3 linked regions of the Coturnix japonica genome follow. The protein of the gene in region 2 interacts with the protein of the main gene of each other region in a pairwise test. Links are inferred from orthologs where the notes say so. Each region holds a gene or a part of one and is shown on either strand. Other genes may lie near its edges.

Region 1 (9,716 bases), on a different chromosome or scaffold from region 2:
GGTATCAAGGTAAAATAGAGATTACCTGTGCAAGGGAACTCCCTTCCTCTTTCTTATCGTATGCATTAAGATCATTATTTCATTTTGAGACGTAAAAGCTGTGTTGCCCCTAGTTTCCATTTGCTTCCAGTCTTGAACAAACACGGCTAGATTTACATGCATAGAATAATCTTTACAAATCCAGAACATCGTGAACATCTATTGTCACCTAATGCATTTTTAAACAATGCTTTGTGATGTGGTGGTTCTCATTCAGCAGATTGAGCAAATTCTTATTACTTTTTTTTTTTTTTTAAATTTGTTTTCATTAATAAAATCAATAATTCACTGTGGATTTCAGTCACACAGACGATTACCATAGATTTTTTTTGCTTGATCACATGCATGTTTAAACTGTTTTTATCTAGTACGTCTCTGTACAATTCATTGATGGTCAAGCGGAGCGTCATGTAATCTCAAGGAGCAATTGTGGGTGCAGCTTGAAAACAAAATGATTGCAAAGATAAGGGTCTTCCAGCATGTAACTGCTGGATCATTTAACAGTGTTTATTTCCAGGCCTCAATTCGCCTAACCATTTCTTAGCACAAACTCACACTGGAAAAACACATTAACTGAACTTGGCAGAAGCTTCTCATTTAAGGAATAACAAAAAAATCAGGAACAAGCTTTGAGCTCTTTCACCATGTGTATCCCCTTCGAAAGAAACAAAAGAAACCTGGAGAATGTCAACAGTGCTGTGAAAGAAAACGCTCGTCCTCTGTGACCTGAATTTGTCGGGTTTTCATTAGGCTCAGTGTGGGCAGAGTAAGGAAGGAGCTCTCAGTTCAAGCAGAACTGGAACTCGACAGATCCTTGGCTGCTCTTCCTGGAGCGTGACAGTGCAGGAATTACAATGCCAATGTTTCAGGAATTCTAACTGGGAATGAACTGCCTATTCACAGTCATGCACAACGAAACAGAAGCTACTGTCAGTAATACCATATGACTACTTTCCTCCTACAGCTCTTAGAATTGACAAAGAAAACTATCCTCTTGATTTTAAACCTATATGAAGTGGCTCAGAATGTGGTATCCTTTCTTTTATCTGCTATGTTGACTGCCTGGACTTTAAGTTGTCAAAAGTAAGTCACTCTATGTTTCTAGTTAGAAAAAAATCCCAGGAGTAAAACTGCAAACAAATCACCAGAGATGCTGCAAGACTATTCCAACCATGCTTGGAAAATTGGGATCACACTTCCTATATTCAGAAACAAGAAACCATTGATTTTGTGTGTGCAAGCAAGAATGGTGTTTTTAGGACATAAGAGTCCACGCTTCCTAATTTCAGGATAATCACACTTAGGAAGATGTATTTTAACTAAAACATGGCTAGTGCCAAATCTGTTAAGCAAAACCACTTTATACTGATCCTGTCCAATTCTTTGAATTCATCAGTGCTTTATATCAAGTTGAAACAAGCAGAACAGCAAGATTAAATTGATTTCTCCTTAAAACAGATGGAAGGTCTTAAAATACAGTTTGGTTAGAGGGCAGTAAGGCACGGGAGCTGTTACAGGGAGCAAAACAGAAACTGGGTCCTGCTACTGACCTGCTGAGCAATTTAGGTCCTTTCATCACCTCCCCAGCTTTAGTAATTCCTGTAAGTTGTTAGTAATGCCATACTCTTAATAGAGCAGGTTAAGAACAAGTGTTGGATCAGTGCAGCTGTTAATCCTGTAACTTAAAGACTTCATTTTGATTTGGGTCTTATGCTCGATTGTGAGGTCTAGCACAAAATGCTGTAGTTAAAGTGCCCATAAAAGCTTTCTCTTGCTTAGCCAATACCTAAATCCAGAACCAACTGTGTTTCCTTTTATTATCTTATTTTTCAAATGTAAATTTTCCAAGCTTCTACATTTCAATCTGTTTTTTCATCTTTCTACTTCTACCCTAAACTGGCCTGATGAGAGCTGATTTCATGCCTGCTCTCATGTTCCTTTGCTCCTGACTCAAATGGCAATTCAGCCTGTAAGCATTATCAGATAGTGTAGTGTATTACACGTGATGCCCATGCTCCAAAAACTCAGCATGCTGTCAGGACACTATCAAGAAAGCCACAGAACTGAGAGCTTTCATCCCTTCTTTGGAGACTAAGCTAGTCTCCAAAGCTAGTCTGAGTTTAACTGTATCTGCAAAGGATGAATAGACTTTTGTATAAAAGGGAAGGAAGGGGTAGGATTATATACATTCCCATCCATTTGGGGAGGAAAGTAGGGAGTGAAATGTAAAGGAAGAAACTCGGGGACCCACAAGAGGGTTCCCTCACTTCAACAAAGACAACTTGCCGCCCTTCTGAACTAAGAGTTTAGTAACTCTCAGTGCTCTGTAGCCAAGGTGGTTTGAAAACACACCTTGCAAAAGGCAAAAGCCCAGGAAGGAGGTTAAGGGTCTCTGGCGAACGCTCTAACATGGCAATTGTTCTTTTCCTTCCACAGATGACAGTTCTGCCTGTCTGGGTTCAACATGTTCTCGTTGGTTGGGTTTGGGTGGAGCGGTGTTGAGTAAGCTGGTAGTTATGGATACCATTGAGGTATCTATCTTTCCCCATATATTGCAGGTGATTGTGGGAGAATGGCACAGGGTTATGTGCTGTGGCAAACAGGAACCTAGAGATTGTATGTTGCCACATTTAATTATTAGTCACCTAGATTCCTTTTGCCTCTGCTTCTTTGTAGTTAGGAAGCAATAGTAACTGCAATAAAAATTCTTCAGTTCTTCAATCAAGCCAAAATACGGTATTAATGGTAAGGAATGAAAATACCTACATGCCTTTTGCACCTATATGCCCCTCAAAAATAATCCAAGACCACCACATAGGGTTCTGAGCGAAGAGTGGCAACAACTAAGTTCTTATATTCCTTACCATTGCTTCTTGGGCTCAGCAGTCATATTCTGGCCTGCTTCACATCTAATACCATCCTACTGAATAAGGTGTGAGTCCCACCATAAACTTATTGCTTAAAAGAAGTCTCCTCACATACCATATGTTGTTAAATTAATCTGATTAAAGCTCATCCCAGTGGGATTGTTCTACCTGAAACCAGAGGCTGTAGCTGTTTCCCAGAAGTGTTTTATCTCATCTCCCTCAGAAGCCATTTAGCTTTGATTGTTTTTTCCTCACCTGCTGTTGCAAGCTGCTTCACATATGGCTCAGTTTTGACAGTAAGGCCCTCTCCTGCTTCCTAGGATCATGCAACAAGAAGGGAATATAGCTGTGAGTTCTACCAGTCTCTGCACCCCTCCCTTCTCTCAAATTTAAAGCAAAGGCAATTACCTCAATTGAATGTGGCACTACCAGTGACTGCCTAGTACTATCTGATACGGGACCTGGAGGAAAACTCAGGGCCGTGTTTTTGTTACTGTCCCTTGGCATTCCCCAGGGTCTCCACAACCCTTATCTTTGACACGTGCTGGCTGTTACCTTGTTTTGAAGCTTCCTTTCTTGAAATGAGGATGTTGAAGACAGCAGCTCGGATCTGCACGTTTCCTTACCCTCGCAGCTCACCCACATGCCATTGCCGGCACACCGGAAGACCTGTGTCCTATGGTCCGTTGCCTGTGACAACGTAAATACGATCTGTTCTCACACCCCAGCGGGCGGGAGGCCACAGCTCCTGCAGGCAAAGCACCTGGGGGCTGTGCAGGAGCAGGGCAGTGGATGAAGGGTGGGTATAGGCACAGACAGCGTGTCATCCATCTCTGCGTGTCTGCGAATCGGTTGGTTGGTTGCACAATCCTGATCTCAGAGCACGGCCAGCTGGAGCAGCCTGCTCACTGTATAGTTTTTAAACTTAGGTGGATTTTCAGACTTTTATTTCATGCTGAAAACGTGCTTTAATACAAAAAACCATTCTGCCTTTTGCTTGAAGAGGAGGCAGGGGCAGGTGCCGGTGCCGGTCGCCATGTTGCGGTGAGGGTCTCCCGCTTCTGGCCGGGCACGGGGCGTGGGCCGCACCTGTTGCATCGCTCCAAGGGCGCTCCCACCCGGGCCGGGGTCCTCGGTCCTCGCCCTGGGGTCTGGAAGCGCGGCCGGCTGGGCGTCGGGCCGCTGGGCGAGGCCGCCCCGTGCTCGCAGAGCGAGGGGGGGAGCGGTGGGGAATGGCCGGTGGCGGGTGAGTCACCCGCGGCCCCACCTGCTACTTAACTGCCGCCGGGCGGCCGGCGCCGCACTCGCGGGTTGTGCCGTCGCCGTGGCAGGGAGCGGCTCTCATTCCTCCTCCCCTTCACAGGGCGCTCGGCTGAGGCGGGGCAGCTGCTGCATGAGCGTTGCTCACTGGAGCCGGGGAAGCACTGACAGCGCTGAAAATGCCGAAACCGGTAAGTGAGGCGCGGGGGCTGCCCGCGTGTCCGGTGGGGTCGTGCCTCCCGTTGGATGAAGCCGCGCCGGGGCTCCGCCAAGGGCGCCCAGGGAAGCTCCGTGAGGCGCGGACGGAGCCGCGAGGTCCCGCGGAAGCTCCGGAGCCGCCCGAAAGGCAGCTTCGAACGGGAGGAGCGGGCGGAACGGCTCGGCGGCTCGATTCAAACGCGGAACCGCCCTAGGGAGCCATGCTGAAACTTGGGCCGCTCGCCCAGCGGCGGTTGGAGGGGAGGGCCGCGCCCCGGGGCTGCTCAATGCCGTGCCCGGCAGGGAGCCGGCCAAGGCCGGGAGGCTGCGGGCCTCGGAGCGCCCCGACCGGGATCAGGGGTGCTCGTCGGGCGCCGAAAGGAAGGGCTTAGTGTGCTGCCAGGTCCGTGAGGTGGCGAAACAGCACCGGCTCTCACTTGGTATTTGTGAATGCTGAATGACAGGTCCTCGTTTCTTGCCTTCGTGATTAAAAACTTAAGGTTCAGGGGATCATTGTACCGCTCCCCACGGTGCTACCGCTGGGTCTGTTGCCAGGTAGCCTCTAACAGTCTTCGTTAAAGCGTTTCTGTTCTTTGCTTTCCTTTTTTTTCAGTTGAACCAACTTGAATACCTTCAAACTTTCTTGTTGTGGGAGCCCCCTCCTGCGTCGGTTTGCTCATGGTTTTGTTTTTTTTTCAGACTGTTTTGCTTTGAATTCTGCTGCCACCCTGGCAGTTAGAAACGGTAATTCCCTTGAGGAGCTGGCTGGTGCAGAGCTGCCTGTGCTCATGGAAGCAGACAGCTTTGGAACTCTGAAGAGCATAACCAGAGCAGATTGTGGCTGTCTGTTTCCAACAGAGGCAGCACTTAAAGCACAGCACAGTAAAGAACTTCCAAGATTATTAGCTACACCCTTTGGAAGGAGACTAGACGAGCTTATCCTTGGGGTAATGAGCAATGGATGTTCTGCTACTGTAACGCTGAATTTAACTTAGTTAAGAAGAGCTTAGATTAATTTACACTGCAGATTCTGTAAACTTAGGGGGAACAAATGAGGAAAAAAACTCTTCCTTTGAATTCTTTGAAGAGTGCTAAATCTTCATTCTCCCTGGATGTATTTAATCAACAGGAGGCGATATTGGAAGCCATGAGTAGGTGTGGGAAAAATCTCTTTATCTCTCTGCGGAAGGACAGCCATGCTTTAATGGTTTCTGAGACGTGACCTACTGTCCGGGATATATGGAGAAGACTCTGTTCAGTTTGTGTGGAATAAGCTCTTCTTTTTGCAACCTGCATTCGGTCCCCACCTTTCAATGGGGCTGACTGCCACCTTAGTGAATGCAGATGAGGAGAATTCTGTGGAGGATGTCTGAACAGAATGCTTTGGTCTGACTGCTGCAGATCGAGACGGTGTGTTTGGATCCTTCAAATCCAGCTCATTTGTTCTTAGTGCAGCTAAATAGGATTCCTATCACTTTGCAGGGTGAGGTAGGGACGGGTGTGAAGTTGTCGCTCCAGAGCAGAACTGTGCTCAGAAGGAGAATGATAAGAGCCTTTGATGTGTGTGGGGACTGATACCGTGAACTCGTAGGAAATGAAGAGGCAGTTTTTGTTTGATAGGTCAAATACAAAGGTACAAAATAGATTCTACCTACACTTGTTCATGTGTGTCTTGTCAGCTTGGCATAAGTAAATACAATGTTGTTTGGCAGACCTCGTGCTGATAGGGATGTGGTTTTACAAGCCGGTCATCGGTTGTCATCTTAAACATTTTATGTCTAAGCAGATAATTACCACCACGGTTTCAGCATTTGCTTTCTACCTGTCCCCAAAGCAATGAAGGTAAACTTCCATACAGAGCTTTTGTTGTTAGAAAAAATACGTGCACAGAGAGCTTACAGACTGGAATTCAGTCTTTCACACTAAATAAGTCCAGTGAGAGTAAAACATGAGTGATTTTGTATTTTAGTAATGTACCATAGTGAAGTACTAGAAAGCCAAGTGCACGCCAGGTTCTGTACCGGTGCTTTATCGCTGTTTGTTGGATCAGACACACGTCTAGAGTGCTCAAAATAAATCTTGGCAACGTTTCAGGAAATAATTCTGAGATCTTTGATAATAAAGACAACTGTTAATTCCTAATTTATAATTAAACACAGACTTTCTGCCACGTATAACAGTTATAGAGTAACGAGATCACTGGGGTGTGCTGTAAATATGTAACTTCTGGTTCTCAGCTCTTAAGGGTTTTAGGTGGAAATTCACCAGCAGTTCAGAAGCTGAACTTCCATCTAGTCTGAATGATAGTTCATAAGGTTTCACAAATGGTAAATTATTGCATAAAGAAACAGAAGAGATGTTATCTTGTCCAAATCTTGCTTTGTTTTCTGAGAACAAGCAAAGTGTGCAATAAACTGACTTGATCAGCGTTGCATCTTTTCTTTACTGAAGTGTCTGTGTGTGCACTGTGTTTTCCCTTGATCTGTATGTTACTAGCTTATTTCTGTTTGACTCATTGCATGGATGGTGTTCCAGCTGAATTACATCCTTTGGCAAAGCAAGCCAGTCACATAGAGCCACAGGGCTGCGGGCTACTGAGCATTACTTACAGAAGGAGAAGGAAATGTGATCTCTGCTCCAGAGACCTGTTAATTTGATCTGACCTATCAGCATTCTGTGGTCCTTTTTTGAAAGTAGATTATTCTTTCTCCTCTTAGGAAATCTTGAGAGGGGAAAGGAAGCATCACAAGAAATGATGTCAGCTTTGCAGTAGAGCATTTCAAGTAATGCCACACGAGAACCTTTAATACATCTGTGTTTTTGTAACAGTCTTAAAGATAGGTCAGCAATACATGCAGTCTATCAACTTCTGGTGCTAAAAGAGAATACAGGGAGAATATCCAGGCACCATTTTCTAATGTGTTTAATAATAGCTTATGTTCAGAGAGCTGAGCATACCAACAATACCTGCCAGTGTTGGGGGGCATAGTGTTGATGCAGAGAGCCATCATATGTAGGAGTAGAAAGCACATATGTTATAAAACAAACTAAAAACACCAAAACCTATCCTAATAATAATTAGTTAATTAATAATAATTAAACTTGGAGGTGTGGTGGAAAGAGGTCCCTCAATGTGTAGAACAGATTGATATGAATTAGTTGTTGATAGGATGGACTGTCTTGTCCATTGATCTGCAATGTGTGGGGTTTCCCTGATGGAAAGCACTAATAGAAGGTGTTAGGAAAATTCTTGAAGATAGGTTGTCGTTTCTGTTTTTGTCCAGAAAACACAAATTCTAAGCAGAACCTGGAGAAGGATTTGGGGTTGATTGTAGGAGGAAGGCCTCCTCGCAAAAGGGGAGATAGTTTAGTTTAAAATATGAAGGATTTAACTATCAAAGAAAGGGAGGATTTGCTTTAGGCAAGGCTTATAGTTAAGGGGACTTGTGAATATCAGAGCAGTTCAGTTTCTGGTTGCTTTCTCCCCTTGGAGTGTTCTAAGACCTAATGCCCTTAATTAAGATAAAGTCTGATGAGGACACATTGTAGTGCTGCTGCCTGTAGGAGTGTGCAGCTGGAACTGATGACTCAAAAGGCTTTTCCCAGTCCTGTGTTATTAATGTTCTAGTGTGTGCCTGGCACCAAGTGGTTAGACAAGTCCTCCATACCTGTTTGTTATTGAATATACATGCATTCTAAAAATGGACATGAGGACGGCATGTAAGTCTTCAAGGCAAACCTTTATCGGTCTGTGAACGCTTAATGGCATTACAATTCAATGTTTGTCATAAGCCAACCGGAAGAGCTAGAAGTGTAGCAACAGGGATTTACTCTAAAAACTAATAATCATTGATATTTTCTAGATCTTCCCAATTTTGTCTTAACTGTGTCTTCTAACTGCACGTGATAGTTTGGTCTTCAATTTCTTCACAGCAGATTTCTATAACAGGGCTGAAATAAAAAGAAAAACCTTTAGAGATAGTAAGTAATTAACATACTCTTAGCTTATGGGTAGCTATGGATTTATGCAGTAATAAGATAGGTTTTTTTTCTTGTGAGCACAAATTGCAATATGTCAGATGATACGGTATTTAGTGTGGTTGATACCAAGGGTGCACACAGTGGTGCAAAATGGAAGAAACTTAATATCAACCAATTGTGCAGTCTCACCCCAGGCTTCAAAAGGAAGTTGAAGGATTCTACTATTAGTAAGTGTAGGGAATAGTTAACAAATAGTTAAAGGTGGAAGAGAATGAGCTCACAATTGTGCCAAAATCCAAATTACTGTATGAGCTGAATAAGCATTCCTGAGGTCAGTCTGTTCTTGCTAGCTGCCTTAGAGAAATCAAGTGTTAACTGTTCACGTTAGACACTACTTAAAGAATTTCTCGGCCTTCTTGAAGGACAGAGGGTGGAGATAAGCCTTCCTGTTCTCCTTCCGTCCATGTGAACGTCCTCCTCTGTTCTCAGTAAATAAATAAATAAAAAATCAGTGACATGTCAGGACTTTTTGAGAATAATTCTTCTTGATGCCTACTGAAGGTTCCTGCTTCAGCGTCGTTGTTGTTTGGCACGCTGTGTCCGAAGGGCTTTATGTGCACTGTAAATCCCATAATCACTCAATTGACCTTGAAGGAAGGCAGTGCTGCCTAAGATCGTTGAACCACACTACGCACTGTTAAGTAATATATCTTGGCTGTGCCGCGGGGTTGTTTTTGAAACCTGGTTTCAGCATTAGGTAATACTTAGTCTCTGAGCTGAGAAATGCTTCTCCATGGAAGCAACTGAAGTTTCAGGCTTTTACTGAGCAGTGCACAGAATTTTTTCCTTCTAGGAAGAGGAAACAGTCCTTTCCATGTGAGTCTATAAAGAAGGCTTAGGTTGGCGTTACAATTAAGTACATTGCCTCTACTCTGCGTATTTGTTCAGATCCAGGTTTTGTTTCTAGCCACTGCTTCATAGTGTCTTGATGAGTTACCTGTCTTCAGCTTTGAGAGAGCATGGGTAACGTGTGCTGAGCTGGGACTAATGAGCATCTGACACCATCAGCTGCCAATTAAAATAAAAATCCCAAGTCAGAATTAAACCCAGGACTCTGAACTTCTGAGAGAGGGGGAGAAACTGTTTCTTAGCAGCAGTGACTGTTGTGTTTGGCTGTCTGTTGTGTAGGTACCATGGAAGAGGTGCTGGGACTCCTTGTACAGCTTCTGTAACCTTTGCTAGTTCTGAGTTTTCAGTGTGGAATTGCCACATCATCTTATGTGGCAATTGTTTCTCTTCAGCTTCCATGAGCAAGTGCTCTAGTTATTGTGTAAAGCTGAGAGACATCACTACCACGGTCTCTTTCTTGAT
Region 2 (8,950 bases):
TCAGCTGGGGTCTCTGCTGTGCTCTGAGGAGGCAAAGGGCACGGAGTCGGGCACGGTGCTGTGGGGTCTATAGGGTCTGTGGGTGGCATTAGAGAACTTGCACCCTGTGCGCCCTGCAGCAGCACGATGCCCCAGGTCAGCCCTTACCCGCGTGGAGGAGATACGGCTGCGGTACGCGGTGGAGGTCTCAGCACTGAAGAAGCCCTGGTGAGGGACCAGGTATTCCTCAGCATCCACCAGGTCGTCCATGTCCTCCTCCTCCAGCAGCGCCCGGTAGAAGGTGCTGTCCATGTTGCTGGGCAGCCCGATCATGTCGTTCTGGGGGTCAGGGGGGGCTGTCAGTGCCCGTTGGGGCAATGCTGAAGGCGAGACCCCCCTGAGACCCCATTACCTGGATGACCACAAAGCGCTGGGGGTCGCGGGCCATGCGGGAGAACTCGGTGACCAGCTCACGGAACTTGGGCCGGCACTCGGAGTCGATCATCCAGCCTGGGGCAGAGCCGAGCACCGTGAGGGCGGCGTTGGGGTCCTGGCCCCCACGTCCCCATGTCCCCCCCACTCACATTTCACCATGATCATATAGACATCGATGGTACAGATGGGCGGCTGCGGCAGCCGCTCGCCTTTCTCCAGCAGGTCGGGGATCTCTCGTGCCGGGATCCCATCGTAAGGTTTCGCCCCGAAGGTCATCAGCTCCCACACGGTGACACCTGAGGACATGGGGATGTGGGGTAAGTGCTGGTTTGGGACCCCCTGCCCCCCACAGCCACCATAGGGACGCACCGTAGCTCCAGACATCGCTCTGGTGGGTGAAGCGCCGGCGCAGGATGGACTCCAACGCCATCCACTTGATGGGGACCTGGGTGGGTGGGAGGAGTGAGCGGGACCCTCAGGGGACACCGCGCTCCCTGTTGCCCCGTCCCCATGTCCCACCTTGCCCCCATCTGCGTGGTACTCGGTCTCATCGATATCCAGCAGCCGTGCCAGCCCGAAGTCGGTGATTTTGACATGGTTGGGGCTCTTGACCAGGACGTTGCGAGCAGCCAGGTCACGGTGCACCAGCCTCACCTCCTCCAGGTAGCTCATCCCCTGGGCAGCAGGCGTTAAGCCCCACATCTACATCCCCCCCACAGCCCCTCAGCAGCCCCCTCTCTTACCTTGGCGATCTGCACACACCAGTTGAGCAGGTCCTGGGATCCGATGCGGTCTTTGTTCTCCCTCACATAGTCCAACAAGCAGCCGTAGGGCATCAGCTGCGTCACCAGCTGCACCGTGGAGGTCAGGCAGATGCCCAGCAGCCTCGACACGTAGGGGCTGCCCACCCCGGCCATCACATAGGCTTCCTGCAGGCAGCACAGATAGGTCAGGTTGGCACCGACTCCCCAGCCCCGTGCCCACCTCCCCTGCACTCACATCCAGGATCTCCTTGTTGGCTTTGGGTGATGTGTTCTCCCGCAACACCTTGATGGCCACCGGGATCTTCACGCTCTCCCCATCGGGGATCCAGATGCCCTATGGGGGGTGGGGGGGCGGTGAGTGAGGACACAGATGGTGCCATCCCACTGACTGTGCCTCCCACCCCTCACCTTATAGACAGTGCCGAAAGCGCCGGAGCCCAAAACCTTCACTTTCTTCAGCTCCGTCTCCTTGAGGATGCGCATCTGTGCTTGGTTGGGGAGGGCCCCGCTGGGCGTCAGCGGCTCCACCAGCTGCGAGGGACAAGTGGGTGAGGAGGGACAACACTCTGAGCCCCCCCCAGGGTCATCCAGCCCCCCCACCTCAGTCTCCTGCAGCAGCCGCCTCATGGTGTGTTTCCTCTCCTGCTGCCGCCGGCGCTTGACGCAGACGACGGTGATGAGCAGAAGGACGACGACCAGCAGAGCCCCCACCACACCAGCAATGATGGATGTCACCTGGCTGCAGGACGGGAGGTGACAGGGGATGTGGGGATGGGGTCACCCCCTGATGCTCCCCTATGGGAGGGGGGTACCCACGGTGGTACCTTGGCTTCTGGTCCACGGGGCAGCCGTCCTCATCCCTGATGGTGCACCTGATAGAACACGGGGTGGGTGAGCATCCCACTGCCCCCCCACAACACACACACACACACCTGGGCACTGTGTACTCACGAGTGGGTGCAGTTGGTGGGGCAGAGCTGGCAGACCCCCTCCTCGTCTGGGTACTTCCAGATGGGCACAAAGGAGGCATCCACCTTCACCCCGCTGGGGCAGCGCCGCACACACTGCTGCCCATCCTTATAGTGCGCGCATGCCACGCACTGATCCGCATCCTGCAGGGTGGGGGGCAAGGAAGGGTGGGGGGTGAGGGACCTGGCAGCAGTGCCATCCTCATGCTGGTGTCCCCATGTCCCTGTGCTCACCGATCCAAAGCAGGTCTCGGTGCCATTCTGTGGCTGGCACTCAGGGTGGCAGGGCAGGCAGCGTGTGCCGTTGGCGTGCTCCCGGATGGCGCTATGGGATGGTGAGAATGGGATGGGGTTGGGGCTGATACAGAGCAGTGTCCCTCTCCTCCCTGCTGGGCTCAGCCCGACCCCATTGCTCACCCATCCAGCAGGTTGCAGGAGGCCACGCACTCCTGGCCCCGCAGGAAGCGCTCACAGGAGACACATTGTGTGGGGCCGGGCCCCCAGCAGTGCCCGTGGGCACAGAGGTGGAAGCACACCAGGCCCTCGCTCTCTGGGGAGATCAGGCACAGTGTTACCCCCAGCCCGGCTCCAGGGACCACGAGCAGGACTGGGGGTGGTGTTAGGGGGATCCTCACCACACAGCTCGGGGGCTTTATTGTGGGTCTGGAAGAGGTGCTGGCGGGGGTGGCGGAAGATGCTGTTCCATGGCACCTTCTGGAGGAAGCAGAGCTGGGGGTTGTGATGGATGAGCACCATCCCACTGCTGATCTCCTGCAGGGCACGCAGCCCCAGCGCCCGCACCGCCAGGTCCTGCAGCGTCAGTGAGTAGGCACCACTGCCAGGACACAGAAAGGTGAGCACCCACATCACCCCCGGGTCCCCCATCACATCCCCTTTAGGTCCCATCCCCTTTAGGTCCCCCATCACATCCCCTTTAGATCCCCCATCACATCCCCTTTAGGTCCCATCCCCTTTAGGTCCCCATCCCCTTTAGATCCCCCATCACATCCCCTTTAGGTCCCCATCCCCTCTCACTTGTGCAGCACACGGCCACGGATGACACGCAGGTTCTGGAAGACGCCCAGGTCGTCCATGTCGGGTGGCCAGGCAGCAATGTACAGATAACCTGGGGGAGGGAAGGTGGGGGACACAAGTGTGAGCACTGCTCGCTTTGTGCCCTCAGCTCAGGGCTGTGTCCCCATCCCTGTGCACTCACCCGTCAGCTCCTCCAGGCTCTCAAAGACTGACAGCATCTGGGGGTCCAGGGGGGCTGTGTTGGTGCTTGGGTCACTGTAGGAGGTAGGACAGGGGGTGTTTGTGGGGGGGGTCCCAATGGTTCCATCTGGGATGGGGTGTGCAGTGCTTACCCAGCGAAGGTCTCGGGCAGGAAGGCCAGGCTGCCAAAGATCTTGGTGCAGCCAGCAAAGTGCCGGATGTTGGAGGCATTGACAGCACGGACTCCCTTGAGGAAATCCACCCCCAGCCCGTAGCACACTGCGGGGGCACAGAGGGGATGGCAGAGTCACCAGGATCCCCCCCAAAGCGCTGCCTGCCCGGCCCCATTCTGCAGCCCCCCCCAGGGCACAGCAGCTCCTTTGCTCCATTGGATCCCCAGTGGTTCTCCAGCACCGCCCCAGTGCTGCAGAGCTTCCCAGTGAATAGCAGCCCCCCTAGGACCCCCCCAGCCGCAGAACCAGGACCCCTCCTGGGCCTCACCCTCTGGGCAGGGCTTGCTGCACTTCTCACACTTCTGCACGTTGTTGACTGTCACCTCCTGACTGTTCTGGGGGCAGACGAGGGTGCAGGAGCCCACCTCTGTGGCCAGGTAGTTATCTAAGGGGGAAGGAAGGGGACAGGATGGTCAGAGCTGGGGAAGGAGCTGCTCAGACCCCTGCCCACCCCCCAGCACTCACAGGGGCACTGGCTGACACAGCTGGCACCGAAGGTGTAACGTCCATCGCGGTTGGGCACCGACTCGAAGGTGTCAGAGTTGTAGATGACGAGGGGGGGGCAGTGCAGCTCACAAATCCCGCTCCGGTTGAAGTTCAGACATGCCTGGGAATAGGGGGGGGGGGGAACCAGCCATCAGCCCCCCTGTGTTTGGGGGAGACCCCATCCCATCCCATCCCATCCCATCCCATCCCATCCCATCCCGCTGTGCCCATTTTACCCTATGGGTTACCATCTCATCCTACCCCACTGTGTCCCATCCTTTCCTGCTGGGCCCCATCCCATCCCATCCCATCCCATCCCATCCCATCCCATCCCATCCCATCCCATCCCATCCCATGCCCACCAGGCAGTCGGAGTGTTTGGGGCCGGTGCAGCCCGCAGCACATTGCTCATGGCAGCAGTCTGTCGGCTTCGTGCCCTTACAGCGTGGGCACCCGTGGCAGATGCTGTTGGTCACTGTGAGGAGAAAAGGGGGGGCACAATGGGATGGGGACCCCTCCCCTAAAAGGAGTGGTAAGGGGCTGTGGGGTAGGCAGCATCCCAAAGGTATATGGGGAAGGGATTGTGGGAAGCTCTGGAGAAGGGGTTTGTGGATAAGGAGCGTGGTGATGGGGGGGCACAAGTGGGGGTCCCCAAGGTGGGGATCTGGGTGCTACGTGGGGTGAATGGAACAGCAATGTGGAACTTCTATAGGGTTTCCTATGGGGCGGGGGTCCAGGCAGCCCCATACTCACAGGTCTGGCAGTCCTGCTGGCTCTCGCCCCAGCAGTGCCCTTCAGCACACAGCGCCCGGCAGTCAGGACCTGCAGGGGGATGGATGGCATCAATAGGGAGCTGGGGGGGGGGGGTGGCAGCCCCCAACCCACCCACATTTATCCCCTCCCCAGCCTTTGGGCTGCTCACAGGTTCGGCTGCGGCTGCTCTCCACATGGATCTCAGTGCGCAGCTCGTTGTGCCGGTGGAAGATGTCGGCCCATAGGATGGTCTCCTGGAAGCAGAGCTGGGGGTTCCCCTCAATGTGTACCCCCCCCTTCAGGATCTCTGTATGGGGGGGGGATGAAAGAGCTGCCATCAGTATGGGGGCACAGCTCCGTAGGGTCACCCGGCCCCACACAGCAGCTTGGAGTCCCCACACAGAGACTAAAAGGGCTGCAGAGAATCTGGGGAGGGGATTAATGGGGGTGTAGGGATAGGACAGGGTTATAAGCTAAAAGAGATTCATTGCTATGAGGGCACAGAGCTGTGGGTACCCCCTCCCCAGCAGTGCTCAGGTCCAGGGTGGGGGGCACCGGGCTGTGTGGGGGGGGGTCCCTGTGACATGGGGTGGGGATGGATGGGGTTTGGGGCCATTCCAACCCAAACCACGCAGTGATTCGATACCTGCAGCCCCCACAAGGACCCTCTCCCCATATCTGCCCCCTACCTGTGAGCTGCCTCATGCCGAGCTGCCGCAGCCCCACATTGCCCAGCACGGTCAATGCGTAGCGCTCCTGGAACAGCTGCGTCCCACGGATGATCCGCAGCCCCTGCAGCCCCACGGCGCTCACTTGGTTCTCAGCGATCAGCACGTAGCCCTGCACCTCCTTGATGTCCTGCAGGGGGGGGTGGGCACGGCGGTGAGACCCCCACGGTGCCCCCATGTCCCCCCCCATCCCTTCCCATCCACGTATCCCCGAATCCTCGCACCTGGAGGAAGGTGGTGTCGGCGCCGGGGGGCAGGTAGGTGAGCTCCAGGTTACCCTGCACCACTTGGCAGCCCTGGTACAGGTGCCGCAGGGTCTCGTAGTGGCTCTCGGGGCTGGAGGGCTGCAGCAGCTTCATGTCGGTACCGGTGCACACTGCGGGGATGGATCGGGATGTATTGGGGGGGGGTTGGGGGGTGGGAGGGGTCAGCCGAGGCCGGCCGGGCCATCGCCCCCGCGGGATCCGGCCGCAGGAAACGCTGCGGCTGCTGACGGTTATCGGCTCCCAAAAACTTCCGATGGGTTTCCGATGGGCTTCCTGAGCGGCCCCGGGTGTGATGTGGGGACGGGGGAAGCGGGACACACGGGGATACAGCGGGATACAAGGGGATACACGAGGATACATGGGGATACATGGGGATACATAGAGATACATGGAGATACATAGAGATACATGGAGATACATGGAGATACATGGAGATACATGGAGATACATGGAGATACATAGAGATACACGGGGATACAGGGGGATACACGGCGATACAAGGGGATACACGGGGATACACGGGGATACACGGGGATGCGGACCCCCAGCTCCCACCGCGGCACCGCTGCCCCCACGTCGGCAGCAGCCACGACCCCCATTGAGCGCCCACGTCCAGCACTGGGTGGGTCCCCACAGCCCGCACCGGGGGGCCCCGAATGGGGCGGGGGCCGCGGAGCAGGAATGCGGTGTATCCCGCAGTGCCCCCACGCCGCCGGGGGGTGGGGGGAGAACCGAGACAACACGCGATTGTTGAGCGGCCCCGAATGGCCGCGTCCCATGGCCGCCCCGCTCCGACCCCCCCTCATTCCTGTCCCCGTTCGTGGCGGTGGGGCCGGGAGGGGCGGGTCGTGCTGCGGTGAGTCACGGCGCTGGGGCGGCCCGGTCCGGCCGCAACGTCCCGCCTGGAACCGCCTTTTCAGGTCGGGCGTGTTTGGGGAGCGAGCGGGGTGACGCAGAACGGCCCAGCCCCGGCACCGCCCGCGGCCCCCGGCGCCCCACAACCACGCGGGACAGACCCCCCCCCACGGCCCCGATGTGGGCTGGGGTCCCACCGCGTCCCTCGAGACCCCCACGGTGCCCCCCGTGCTTCTCCTTGAGCGGGGTCACCGTGTTGTCCCCGTTGTCCCCTCTCTTGTTTGGTCGCCCCCAACACCGACCCCTCGGCTCCACCATCGCCACAACTTATGGGGACACAGCGGCGGGGGTTGGGGGCGCTCTGCCCTCGGTGCGGGGGGGGCTGTGCGGGGTCTGAGTGACGGCCCCCGGTGCCGGCAGCTGCCACGAGGCCGTGGGACGAACCGGGCTGTAGCCGCCCCCAACGACCCCAGCGGCCCCCGAACGTCCACAAGGGAAAACTGTGCCCCCGGAGCTGCCCGTGTTGGACGGGGAGGTGGGGACAGCCCGGTGCCCCCACCCCGCAGGGAACGGCCAAAGCTCAAGGTCTGCTCCACCTGCTGCGTGCGGGCACGGGATGGACACGGTGCTGCCAGGGCCCAGGGAAGGCGGGGGGGACGGATCCCGGTTCGGTCTCAGTTCCATCGCACCCCCGGGGTTGGGGCTGGGGTCAGCGGTGGGGACGGGCCAGCACTCGGAGCTCGGGTTCCAGGGCGATGGGAGCAGCAGGGACCCACCGAGACCCCATTTATTGCCCTGGGAGCCCCACAAACACCGGGGGGTGGCGGTGGGGCCGATGCCCGCCCCGTCCCCGTCCTCGCTCCGACCGAGGCCCCGCGGCGCTGGATCGTGCCCCGGCTGCTCCCGTCGGGCCGGGCAGGGCGCGGCACCTCGAGAATGTGGATGGGAGCGACCGGCGGGGACGCACCCCCCGCCCACCCGCACCGAGCGGCACCGCCGCCGCCCCGGGGCCCATCCGCGCCCCGAAACCGGCTCCATAAACCGGGGAATGGGGGGCAGGGGGGGCTGTCCCGGCGGTGGGGGCTCTCGTGGCACCTCTCGTGATTGCGGGACCCCGGTAAAGCGGGTCCAGCCCACGCAGCCGGTGGGGACGGAGCTTTTTTTAGGGTCTCCAAACCCTCGAGTGGAGGCACCGGGGGGCACCGGGGGGGGGGCACCGAGCGGAGCGGCCGCCCCCGGCCCCGCGTCTCCCGGCTCAGCCCAATCCCGCGTGGGAACGGCGAGAGGGAGGGGCTGCCCACGGCGGGGGGGGGGGGGGGGCAACCGGGCCGGGGGGTCTGTGGGGGAGGGGGGTCGCTTTGAACCGCAGATCCCCAGCACCCCCCGTTACCCCCGTTATCCCCGTTACCCCCAAACCTTCCACTCCCCGCCCCGGATCCCGGTTCTCCCCGCACAACTCCGTTCCGATCCCGCCGTTCACCCCCACCCCGCTGCCCGTCGGGGCGGACCCACCTTCGGTGGCGGCTGCGGGGCAGAACGAGGCGAGGAGCAGCGATAAGAGCACGGGGCACAACGGGCGGCCCCGGGGGTCGGTCATGGCGCTTCAGGACGGGCTGCGGCCCATGGCCCCGCACCGGACGCTCCGGGAAAGTTTGCGGTGCGGTTCCGCCGCGCTCCCGGGCTCCACCTCGCGGGGACGCGCCGCGCGCTCCCGCCCACAAAGCGCGTTCACGAGGGATGGAAGCGGCGGGTCCGTCCCGGTACAACCGGGTGTAACGGGGGAATCCCGGTTGATCCCGGTAACACCGGGTGTAACGGGGGGATCCCGGTGGCACCGAACTCGGACACTGGGGGGTCGCGATGTCCCGGGCAGCACCGGAACCGCCGGTACCGGGAGCAGCGGGGTAAAGGCAGCACCGAACCGGGTGTATCCGGTACCGGGGGTCGCACCGTAATGGACACGGGGCGGTTCCGGTGCTCCCGGTCACCCCGTCCCGGTGTCGGTCACTTCACGCTGTCATAGGGGTTGGGGACACTGGATATATAGGGATATATAGGGGATGTATAGGGATATATAGGGGTATATAGGGATATATAGGGGTATATGTAGGGGATATATAGGGATACATAGGGATATATAGGGGATATACAGGGGTATATAGGGGATATAGGGATATATAGGGATATATAGGGGATATATAGGGGTATATAGGGATATATAGGGATATATAGGGGATATACAAGGATATATAGGGAATATATAGGGAT
Region 3 (9,740 bases), on a different chromosome or scaffold from region 2:
CTACTTTTTTTGGTCACACTGTGTCCTAAAAACTTGCCTTCTTAGGCTCTTTGAAATTGAATTTGCTGCTGTTTATCAATTCTTCTCTTTTCGTTTGACTACAGCTACTGCTTTTTGAAGGCTGTCTGTGCAAGTCTCACGCAGTCAAGTATAACACGTTACTTATTGTTTCTTCTAGGAGATGTACATATAAATTGAAAGTAATTTCCTCGAGAAGATGACACTGCTATAGTAAGATAATACACCCAGGTAAGTAAGTTAGCTGTCCTGCAGCCAGAGGTTACATTCAGCTCACAGAACAAGCAACCACCTCTTTGTTTCTGTGGTGTATATGCAGTAAGACTACCAAAATGTGGGCAGGTTGGTCCTGCCGAGATGTCTGCTTTTGTGAGTGTCCGTGCGTGCAGTGCTGTTTGCATACTGTGACTTGGGGTCGTGAAGCTGTGCTTTGTGAAAGGCATCTGTTACGATGAACTCGGAACACTGTCACTGGAGGTGTTTGTCTTGTACAAATGTCCAATACATGCCTCGCAGTCTTTTCTCTCTCTGAGCCCTGTATCTTCCTTGCACAGACCTTTAGGAGTGATATGCTCAGCGACAGGTTTACTTTACAAGTAGTCAGTATGTGTGGATGTCCAACACTTTTATACCATGTTTGTGTGGTGGCTGTTTTGTTCCATTTTGCTGTGATGTTCCAGTAGCATTAGTTAGTCTGCACGTCTGTTCAAGATGGTTTTCACTACATAACGTCCTGCTTAAGGCTGAACTTTCACGCTGACATCTTGAGAAGGTCTGAAAACAACCCCGGCCATTTCTTAGGGGGCGATGCATGTATGGCAGCTGCTGGACACGGTGGCACGGCGATGGCACAACTCTCTGTCCGCCTTGCTGTGGTGCCACCTGCAGGCGCAGAGACTGGGTGCAAACTCGTCGGGACTCAGGGGAAGGTTCTGGGGGCTGATGGGGAGAGGAGGGGCACAGTATTTATTGTATTAATTTGCCCCCCACTCCCACAGCAATTTGATAGGGCTTTGTTGATGAGTTCACTGCATATTTTCAGGCAGCTGTAGACAGCTCAGGAAACATAAGGCTTCTTAGATGAAAAAGGTGATTCTTTAAAACGTTCCTGCTTGCAGGCATCTGGTGTTTCTGCTGCCTCTCAGCACTTCCCTATCATCGCGCAAGGATCTCGCTGGCAGGCACACAGCTATGCAGGCAGCGGCACACAGGACAGCCATTGAAAGCACCAAGCGCAGCAATTACAGCCAGGATGGGACCGACACAGGGCGCTTTGTTAGCCTGGCGGGGCTGTGGGCTGCCTGCTGCACTGCAGCATCCCACCTGCTCAGCACGACTGGCCCCGGCCAGCCCCAGAACAGCTGAAAGCTGAGGAACAGCTGCAGTTTCACTCCGAGTTACCTAAAGCTCCTATCAGGACATTTAGAGGACAAGGCAGGTATTGAGGCCATCCCGGAGCTTATGAGCTGTTCGTACTGTAAGTCCAGGGACAGGTTATGCAACCTATTTCCTCTAAGGAAAGCGACTCTGAGTCATCTCCCTCTAGCGCAGTGAACGTCTGGCTTTCACACAGCTCTACCGTCACAGATAAGCAGCTCCGTGCTTCTCACTTGTGCCTGGCCATGGGAGAGCCTGCAGCCTCAGTCCTTGCCCCAGGTCAGACTGTAAAAGCAGCCATCTCCAGTCAGCAGCTGCAACCTGCCTCCTGCAGAGCAGTGCAGCATCTCTGATGCAGCTCTCAGCCTCAGTGCTGATGAGAAAATAAAAGGAAGGGCCCCATGGCTTTGGTGGGAGTGAACTGCTTATCTACCCTACCACTCAGCAGCCAGGGTAGCTCCGTGCTTTTAGGGGGAGGTAATGCAGCTCCTGGCAGAGGGCTGATACTTGCAGAGATTTGCTGCTCAGGAGCTGCCACTGTGCTTAATTCTAGCTTCCAACACAGGGCCTGGGGCAGCCATTTCTTCCAGGCAGATTTATTTTCAGTTCACTTTGTTGCATCTCTAGTAAGGAAGAAGGAATTGAAAAACTCCTGGCTTTCATGCCCTTTTAACAAGTGAAAACGCAAGTCATCCTCAGCACTTTATTCTGCACACACCCATCAAACAGGAAAATCCAGAGAGCTGGAAGGTGGATGAAGAACATCTGCTCACCATTCCACCACACAGCACATCTTCCACTCAAAGCCCTCCACACCTTTTCGCTTAAGGGCAAGAGTCCTTCCCTTGCTGGCAGGCACAGCATAGCTCCATGCACAGCAGCCCTGCACTGGCTGGAGCTGCTGGCCCAGCAGTTACAGGCTGGCTGGGCTACCTTAAAGCATACATTCAATTCTTTTTTGCTTCCCAATGACACGCAAACAAAGCGCTTCAGATGGTGAACACTTTTATTGATGTAAGGTGGTACACATACAGATCAGTTTCTATCAGCCTCTCCCACCTCCCCCAGGCTGAGGAAGAATTTGGAGGAGGAGTGGGGGAGACAGAAGGGAACAGAACTGGCCTCTCACAGCAGGATGCAGAACTGAGTGGTGGTGAAGAGCGGGGGCTCCAACAAAGGGTCCTGCTTCCCTAGGCAGCAGGGGGGCTGTGTGCCTGTGCCTGGCTCACTCCTTGGATGCCATGTGGACCATCAAGTCCACAACACGGTTGCTGTATCCAAACTCGTTGTCATACCTGAGAAGGGAAACACAAGTGCAGTCAGCACTGATCCAGCTCCTCGTATCCCTCTTCATGTTACTGCTCTTCCAGCCTCAGCCCATATAACCAAGTGGCAAGGCTTCCCATCCAATCCTTATGAAGCAAACAGGCAGCATCCCATCTGCCCTCCATTACAGGAAGGCAGCTGCAGCCATTTCAGATACGAAGCCATCTCACTAGAGACCGTCACATGCTGAAGCCACCTGAACCCTGTGCTGCCATGCACTGCCAGATGGTGCTGACAAAATGAAACAGCACAGAACTGCACCAGAACTGCTCGTCTCTACCCTCCCAGTCTCCCCCACACCCCGAGGCTGAGCATACCAGGAAACAAGCTTGACGAAGTTGTCATTCAGTGCAATGCCAGCACCCGCATCAAAGGTGGAAGAATGGCTGTCACCATTGAAGTCACAGGAGACAACCTGGAACAGAGGAAGAACCGTCAAGCACTCTTCCACCCAATAAGATGGTAACAGCCTGAACCAGAAGCGTCAAAAACATCACCCCAGCAAGGCTGCCACCATCAGAACAATGAGGCAAGTGACACCTACGTAGCAACTATTTACCTGGTCCTCTGTGTATCCTAGGATGCCCTTCAAGGGCCCCTCAGCAGCAGCCTTCACTACCCTCTTGATGTCATCATATTTGGCCTAAAAAAAGGCAGAAGTAAAGATGGTCAGGTCAAATCTCATCTCTAAGTGTCAGCTACAGCCCAGACACTGGGAACTGCATAGCACTAGCCATGCACATTAGGTGCTATTTTCAGCAAAACCAAGATTTTTCTATTAAATAGATTGATGTTGAAGGAAGTAATTTTAGAGGCAGGCCTGAAGATTCTTCAGTCTTGTCCACAGCACTTACTGGTTTCTCCAGACGGCAGGTCAGGTCAACAACAGAGACATTGGGGGTTGGCACACGGAAAGCCATTCCAGTAAGCTTCCTGCAAGAGATATGTCAGCAAAGAACAGTGTAAGCATGTTCTACCACAAAAGTGTTTGAGCCAGCCACACACTGGCTCCTGCCCCCCATCAGACACAGAAAGAGGACGCTCACCCATTGAGCTCAGGGATGACCTTCCCCACAGCCTTAGCAGCCCCAGTGGATGCTGGGATGATGTTCTGGGCAGCACCTCTGCCATCCCTCCACAACTTCCCAGAGGGGCCGTCCACAGTCTTCTGTGTGGCTGTGATGGCGTGCACAGTGGTCTGTGGAAAGAAGGCCCAGAAGTAAGAAAGCAGTCACTTTCCCCAGAGAAAGCACCCCCAGCACTTCCTCCCAAGCCCAATGGAAGCACTGTGTGTGAATGCTTTTTTCCCCCACACATGGAGGACCTGGGGGCAGGGTATCTTACTGAGCATCAAGCTCCAGACCTACCATAAGACCCTCCACAATGCCAAAGTTGTCATGGATGACCTTGGCCAATGGTGCCAGACAGTTGGTGGTGCATGAAGCATTGCTGGGGGAGAAAGAAGGCACATCAGCCAAGTACAACACATGTATATACGTGCAACAAGACCCGAAGAAAATTCCAGGCCAGGGAGCATTCTTCTCCCTTACCTAACAATTTTCAGGGACTTATCATATTTCTCATGGTTGACACCCATCACGAACATGGGAGCATCAGCTGAGGGGGCTGAGATAATAACACGCTTAGCACCACCCTTCAGATGAGCCTGAAAAACAAAAAAGGAAAGATTAAATTACCCAGAACGGCCCAACAGTTGAGAAGGAATACAATCCTCAGAGCACCTTTTCCCATGGGCCACAGCAGCCTACATACCCCAGCCTTCTCCATGGTGGTGAAGACACCAGTGGACTCCACAACATACTCAGCACCAGCATCTCCCCACTTGATGTTGCTGGGGTCACGCCTGAGAGGGGACAAAACCATGGGAGTTACTCTGGAGGGCACTTACTTTCATTCTCTGGAGCAGCGAGAGAAGAAAGCTACTCACTCCTGGAAGATAGTGATGGCGTTCCCATTGATCACAAGTTTCCCGTTCTCAGCCTTGACAGTGCCCTTGAAGTGTCCGTGTGTAGAATCATATTTGAACATGTAAACCTAGCAGGGAGAGAAAAGAGAAGGGTCAGGCATCCTAGATGCAAAGCTCCCACTACAATACCAGCCATCTTGTCTAACTGCTGCTCTGTATTTTGCTCTGCCCAGCTTTGCATCACTACATCTCATTTCTCTCTTAACCTATGCCAGGTTTCCAAGGGGAGCCCCGCTGAAGGTGCACGCATCGCCCAGAGGGGGCACTGCAAGACAACTCACCATGTAGTTCAGATCGATGAAGGGATCATTGATAGCAACCACTTGGACTTTGCCAGAAAGGACAGCAGCCCTGGTGACCAGGCGGCCAATACGGCCAAATCTGGGGAGAAACAGAGAGGTGGGTGAGGAGGAGCACTGAGGAACATGCTTGGTAAGGCACGGCTGAGCCTATCTGCTACTTCCCCCCAGAGCATCTGTCAGTCGCTGCCTGAATGGAATCCAACAGCAGCGGCCAAAGGCCGAGGAGCCGTGGTTAAAGATTAAGAGCGACCCCCGGGCAGGGCACCCACACCACAAAGGTCAGGCGCTAAATTTACTGAGGGCCCCGGGGATCCGGTTACTCCTCGGTGCGGTGGGAGAAGGTCACGTTCCCGGGGCACGGCCGACACACGATCCACCGGGCGACCTTTCCTCGGGTACCCACTGCCCCGGGGAGCCCCATTAGTGCGGGCAGAGCCCCCGACGGGGCACGCGGGCAGCACCGGCGCTTCCGGGGTGACTCACCCCGACCGTGCGGGGAAGTGACTCAGCACCGCCCCACGGGGCCGTTACTCCCGGTTGGGGGTTGGAGGATGGGGGGGTCTCTCCGCGGCGCCGCGGGGCCCCCCGCCCTTCAGGCGACCTTGTCTCGTGTCGTCCTCCCCCCCCCCACGGGCACGTACATCCCCGCCCGCCCCGCCCGGCGCCTCCCGTCCCGGCTCCGCACTCACTCACCCGTTGACTCCGACTTTCACCATCTCTCCCTTATAGTGTACCTGCGGGGACACGCCAACGCTCAGACGTGCGGTACCGCACGCAGCCCGCCCGCCCCATAACACCCCCCCACCGCACGCACCGGGAGCCGCCCCCCCACCCGCCATCCCTCCCTCCCTCCATCCCCACCGAGCTGTGCCCCCCGCACCTCTCCCCCCACCCCCACCGCCTCCATCTTACGCCGCCCGCCCCCGCCTTTGTGCCCCGGGCACCACGCGGTCCTGCACAGCCCCCTCCCCCCGCCGCACTCCTCGCGGTCCGACGGCCCCGACCCTACGAGGGGCTCAAGCAGACGGGAGGGCGGCCGGCTGGGTGGGTGGGTGGGTAGGGGTGGGGGGAGCCGTTCCTCCGCCCCCGTGCCCCCCGCCCGTTACCTGCTCCTAGTCAACGGCCCCGGCGCGCAGTGAGAAGGTGGCGCAGTGCCGCTCCGCCGCCCTTTATAGACACGGCGGCAGCACCCCGCGCCCCGCCCCGCCGGGCCGGCACCGAATGGCAGCGCGAGGGCCGGGCCGGGGCTACGTGCACGCACGGTGCGGGTGAAGCGGCAGCCCCCCCCCCGCTTCTCTCCCCCTCCCCCCTCGCAACAAAGGGCGGCCGTTGGGTCGAGGGTGGGCTCGGGGGGTTGGGGCCGCACTGCGGGGCTTGTACGGAGTGGGGGTGCCCTTCGGATGGGGGGTGCAGACAAAGCCCCGCGTCGGTGTCCTCGGGTGAGGCTGCGGGGTGCGGCTGCAGCACGATGCGGTGCGGCGGGTGCGGGCTGCATTAATGGCAGCACGCACGGCCGAGAGAGCGCCGTGCTGCGAGCCCGCAGCCTGCCCGCTGCCATAATCAGCCCTCGCACGTGTTGGTCACGCAGCCCCGGGCTGCCGGGGTCCCGCACCCGCTGTCACACCGGCGCTCTCAGGCCGCGCTAATAAGGAACTGCAGCATCTCTTGCGCCGTGACAGCGGATATCCTCATATCCTCCCGCCGCCTCGAGCCGCCGCCGTCCCTCTCCCAGCCCGGCACGTCTGCGCCTGGCAGCCGGGCCCGGGGTGTGGGCAAGAAGCGGTTCTTACGTGTTACGGCTGGGGCTCGTGCGGCCCAAAGAGGGGCCGTGGGATGGAGCCGTGCTGGGTTTATAGCCTCCATCCCCTGCGATGGAGCGGGTGCTCGAAGCCGGATGCCCGGCGGGAGGAGGGGGCGTGCAGGGGTGAGGTGGGCCCCGGCTCCAGCGGTGGGGACGGAGGATGCCGGGGGGAGAGGGTCCGAGCGGGGGGTCACGCAGCTCCCGTAACCCAACGCTCCTTGTACGGCTGCCATTCCCGGAGCACCGAGGGGCAGCGGCTAAGTTTAGCCCCGGCTTGAGGTTACGACCTTTTCTTAAAGGCCAGGGGAGGCGGCGGTGCGGCCCGAAGGGGGCTGCGATCGCGGGGCCGGGGGAGCCCCCCGCACGTCGCGGGGTCAGGGCCGGCAGGGAGAGCGGAGGCCCCTTGTTTGCTCGGCAAACACGGCAGCGGCCGAGGGGCAGAGTGTGGCGGGACGGAACAACGCTGCGGCCCCGGGGCGCAGATCGATGGACCCGCCGCCCATCCTCCCCCCAGCGCCGGGCTCGGGCCCAGGCCGCGGACGCGCGTGCGGCCCGGCCCACCCGGAATGGCGGCGGCGCCCAAAATGGCCCCGCGCGTGGGGGCCGCGTTGCCGTGCGGAGCCGCGGGCTCTGCCGCCATCTCCCGGCGGACGCGGGCGGGGAGAGGCACGGGGAGGGTATCGCGGCCCGGCCGCCCTTCGGTGCCGCCAGCTCCGACACGAGGCTCCGCACAGCTCGGTTTAATTCGCGAGTCCCCCGCGCGCCGCCGCTCCTCGCCCTGCCCGCGGGGCTGCGGCCGCTGCTGCCCCAGCCTGTCCCGTCCCGAGCTGGGTCTCGTCCCGGGCCGGCTCTCCACACGGCCGCTCTCTGCCTGCCAACGAGCGAGCCGCTGCCCGCTGTGCCGGCCCCTCGCTGCTGCCCCCTTCACCTCCAGCTTCTCCGGGCTAACAGCCCAACCCGCTGAAGGCCCCGATGCGGTCCATTTTCAGCCCAAAACAGCCCCGGGGCGCGGCCTTCCAGGCCCAGTCTCCAGACAGAGCTCGCTTGCGATCGGCGAGGGCCTTGCGCCACAGCAGGGGCTGTGCGGCTCGGGCCCGAGGCAGGAGGAGCGGCTGCGGCTCGGAGCTGGAGCTGGAGCCCTCCTTCATGTCCTCATCAGCCGGCAGGGATTCGGAATCCGAGGGCAGCAGGCGGGAAAGGAGCACCTGAGAGAGGGATAAATGGAGATGGGCGAGGGTGTAATGTCTGTGCTCTTATATCCCGACCCACTGTCCCACTCTTCGTCCCTCAGGCTCGGGCAGGACGTGAAATGGTGCCTGTGAAAGCCCTCTGCCTGTGACCTTGCATCCACACCAAGGACACCGATGGCCCGCAGCTACTCTGCCTGAGGTGATTTTGCTGCCCAAAGAACAGGAAGGAGTGCTGTGGGCATTGCTGTCTCTATTCCTTGCCCTTCTGCTATTGAATAGTTCTCTCCATACCTGGAAAATAACAGTCATCGGCCCTTAGTCCTTTTGGTGCAGCTGAGTGCTGCTGTGTGCTCACGGTGTTTTGTCGTGTTTCTTTTTTTCACAGAGGAACTGTTAGCATAAAGCAGTCAACTATCAGAATGGGCCTAAGGAAGGCGGGCCCTTCATCTGCTGGGAAGTCTCCATAGTTTGTGTGCAGGCAGGCATGCTCTAATTTAATTACATGCCTCCATAGCCGCCAGCATCCTCCAGCGGCAGGGAGATGGGTCAGGAGGTGCCCTGGGGGCACAATGCTGCTGCCCATGGCGGCGGCCTGTGGTGGCTACTCCATGCCTGTGCATCACATGGATGCCTTTGTGCAATTTAGCTCCATCTTCTCCAGCAGTCAGTTAATGGAAGCAGACATGGGCATCTTCAGTGAAGAGTGAAAGTGTCTCCATGATGAGTCATAGCGGAATCAGTCCTGCGTTTCTAGTTCACATCCTAGCTCCTGCCTTGCAGCTTTCTTCTTGGACAGAGGAGCTGATATGAAGGCAGGGTGCCTCTGCACGCATTGAAGAGACCCACAGCCAGGAGCACTCAGAAGTCTGTTGCCTGGCCCCTACCTTGAAATGCTAGCACTCCTCAAGGAGCTGGCTTGTATAGACACAGCCTAGAGCTGAGGCTGTTGGACTGAAGGGGAGGGAGCAGCCCTTGGGAGCTGGGATGTTGGGTCACCTCACACCATGTTCAAACACGACCTCCCCAAACTGCCCCTGCCACTCCCAAAGCCTCCCGCAGCTCCATCCCATTCCCTCCTACCTGGAGCCTTTGTCCCGATGAGGACATCGCTTGTACGCTGGCAGAGAGCAGAACTAAGAGGAGGAAAAGCGAGCAGGGCCACGCTGGGAGCCCCAGCATCTTCTCTTTATTTGGGGGTTTATGGCAGGTGAGGCAAGATCTGTAGCCTCTGAGAGCCCTTCCCCTCTTTGCTTTTATAGTGTTGGTTGTGGTGGGCGCCTGCCCCCCAGCTCTGCTGCACAGCCCCCTGGAGCTCCTTAACCTTTCAGCCCTTTTGTCCATGGTGATATATTTCAGGGTGAGCTCAGTGAGACCCCTTCCTCTAAAGAATAGACACAAAAGTGTTTGCCGAGTGTCTGGGAAGACAAATGTAGGCCAAGCTGCTGCTGGCTGGGGCCTGGAGGTATCTATCTGGATCAGGGAGAGACTTCAAGACGCATCCAGAAACAGGGTGTCAGAGGCTGCAGTATGCAGTGCCACTGACATTCTCGTAGGCAGGGTGCTGTTAATGTTATCGCTTTAAGCACTGTGAGCATGAGCTGCAGCTCAGCTGGCGATTGTGTCACTGCTGGCCGCAGTGAGCTGTGGTGTTGTGGCAGTATAGGCTCTGTTTTTAGCACCTATGTTTTGATAAGCTGGTTGGCCAGGCGACACGGAGCTCCTGCTGCATTGGATGCACG

What was found.
Region 1: the proteins of ERBB2 (region 2) and EZR interact in a protein complementation assay, tested with the Homo sapiens proteins (2 studies listed by BioGRID and IntAct, with this or other methods). The link is inferred for Coturnix japonica from reciprocal best matches to the Homo sapiens genes ERBB2 and EZR.
Region 3: the proteins of ERBB2 (region 2) and GAPDH interact in a protein complementation assay, tested with the Homo sapiens proteins (2 studies listed by BioGRID and IntAct, with this or other methods). The link is inferred for Coturnix japonica from reciprocal best matches to the Homo sapiens genes ERBB2 and GAPDH.

The regions. Positions count from the first base shown.
Region 1 is NC_029518.1:47,135,924-47,145,639, reverse strand, and holds the start of EZR (ezrin), read left to right. Parts: upstream 1-4,224; 5' UTR 4,225-4,345; coding exon 4,346-4,357; intron 4,358-4,363; exon of another isoform or gene 4,364-5,311; intron 5,312-5,493; exon of another isoform or gene 5,494-6,792; intron 6,793-9,716. UniProt on the Homo sapiens protein: Probably involved in connections of major cytoskeletal structures to the plasma membrane. In epithelial cells, required for the formation of microvilli and membrane ruffles on the apical pole. Along with PLEKHG6, required for normal macropinocytosis.
Region 2 is NC_029542.1:3,921,552-3,930,501, reverse strand, and holds the start of ERBB2 (receptor tyrosine-protein kinase erbB-2), read right to left. Parts: upstream 8,435-8,950; 5' UTR 8,280-8,434; coding exon 8,195-8,279; intron 5,938-8,194; coding exon 5,786-5,937; intron 5,692-5,785; coding exon 5,523-5,691; intron 5,141-5,522; coding exon 5,003-5,140; intron 4,903-5,002; coding exon 4,834-4,902; intron 4,556-4,833; coding exon 4,443-4,555; intron 4,202-4,442; coding exon 4,060-4,201; intron 3,980-4,059; coding exon 3,863-3,979; intron 3,641-3,862; coding exon 3,514-3,640; intron 3,437-3,513; coding exon 3,363-3,436; intron 3,273-3,362; coding exon 3,182-3,272; intron 2,982-3,181; coding exon 2,782-2,981; intron 2,697-2,781; coding exon 2,564-2,696; intron 2,472-2,563; coding exon 2,381-2,471; intron 2,291-2,380; coding exon 2,130-2,290; intron 2,051-2,129; coding exon 2,003-2,050; intron 1,918-2,002; coding exon 1,779-1,917; intron 1,710-1,778; coding exon 1,587-1,709; intron 1,513-1,586; coding exon 1,414-1,512; intron 1,344-1,413; and 13 more. UniProt on the Homo sapiens protein: Protein tyrosine kinase that is part of several cell surface receptor complexes, but that apparently needs a coreceptor for ligand binding. Essential component of a neuregulin-receptor complex, although neuregulins do not interact with it alone.
Region 3 is NC_029516.1:69,301,812-69,311,551, reverse strand, and holds GAPDH (glyceraldehyde-3-phosphate dehydrogenase), read right to left. Parts: upstream 6,241-9,740; 5' UTR 6,117-6,240; intron 5,745-6,116; 5' UTR 5,727-5,744; coding exon 5,704-5,726; intron 5,090-5,703; coding exon 4,990-5,089; intron 4,777-4,989; coding exon 4,670-4,776; intron 4,586-4,669; coding exon 4,495-4,585; intron 4,388-4,494; coding exon 4,272-4,387; intron 4,171-4,271; coding exon 4,089-4,170; intron 3,920-4,088; coding exon 3,768-3,919; intron 3,655-3,767; coding exon 3,576-3,654; intron 3,365-3,575; coding exon 3,281-3,364; intron 3,137-3,280; coding exon 3,039-3,136; intron 2,691-3,038; coding exon 2,621-2,690; 3' UTR 2,384-2,620; downstream 1-2,383. Other genes in the region: C-type natriuretic peptide 2-like, read right to left, coding at 7,756-8,016, 8,293-8,310. UniProt on the Homo sapiens protein: Has both glyceraldehyde-3-phosphate dehydrogenase and nitrosylase activities, thereby playing a role in glycolysis and nuclear functions, respectively.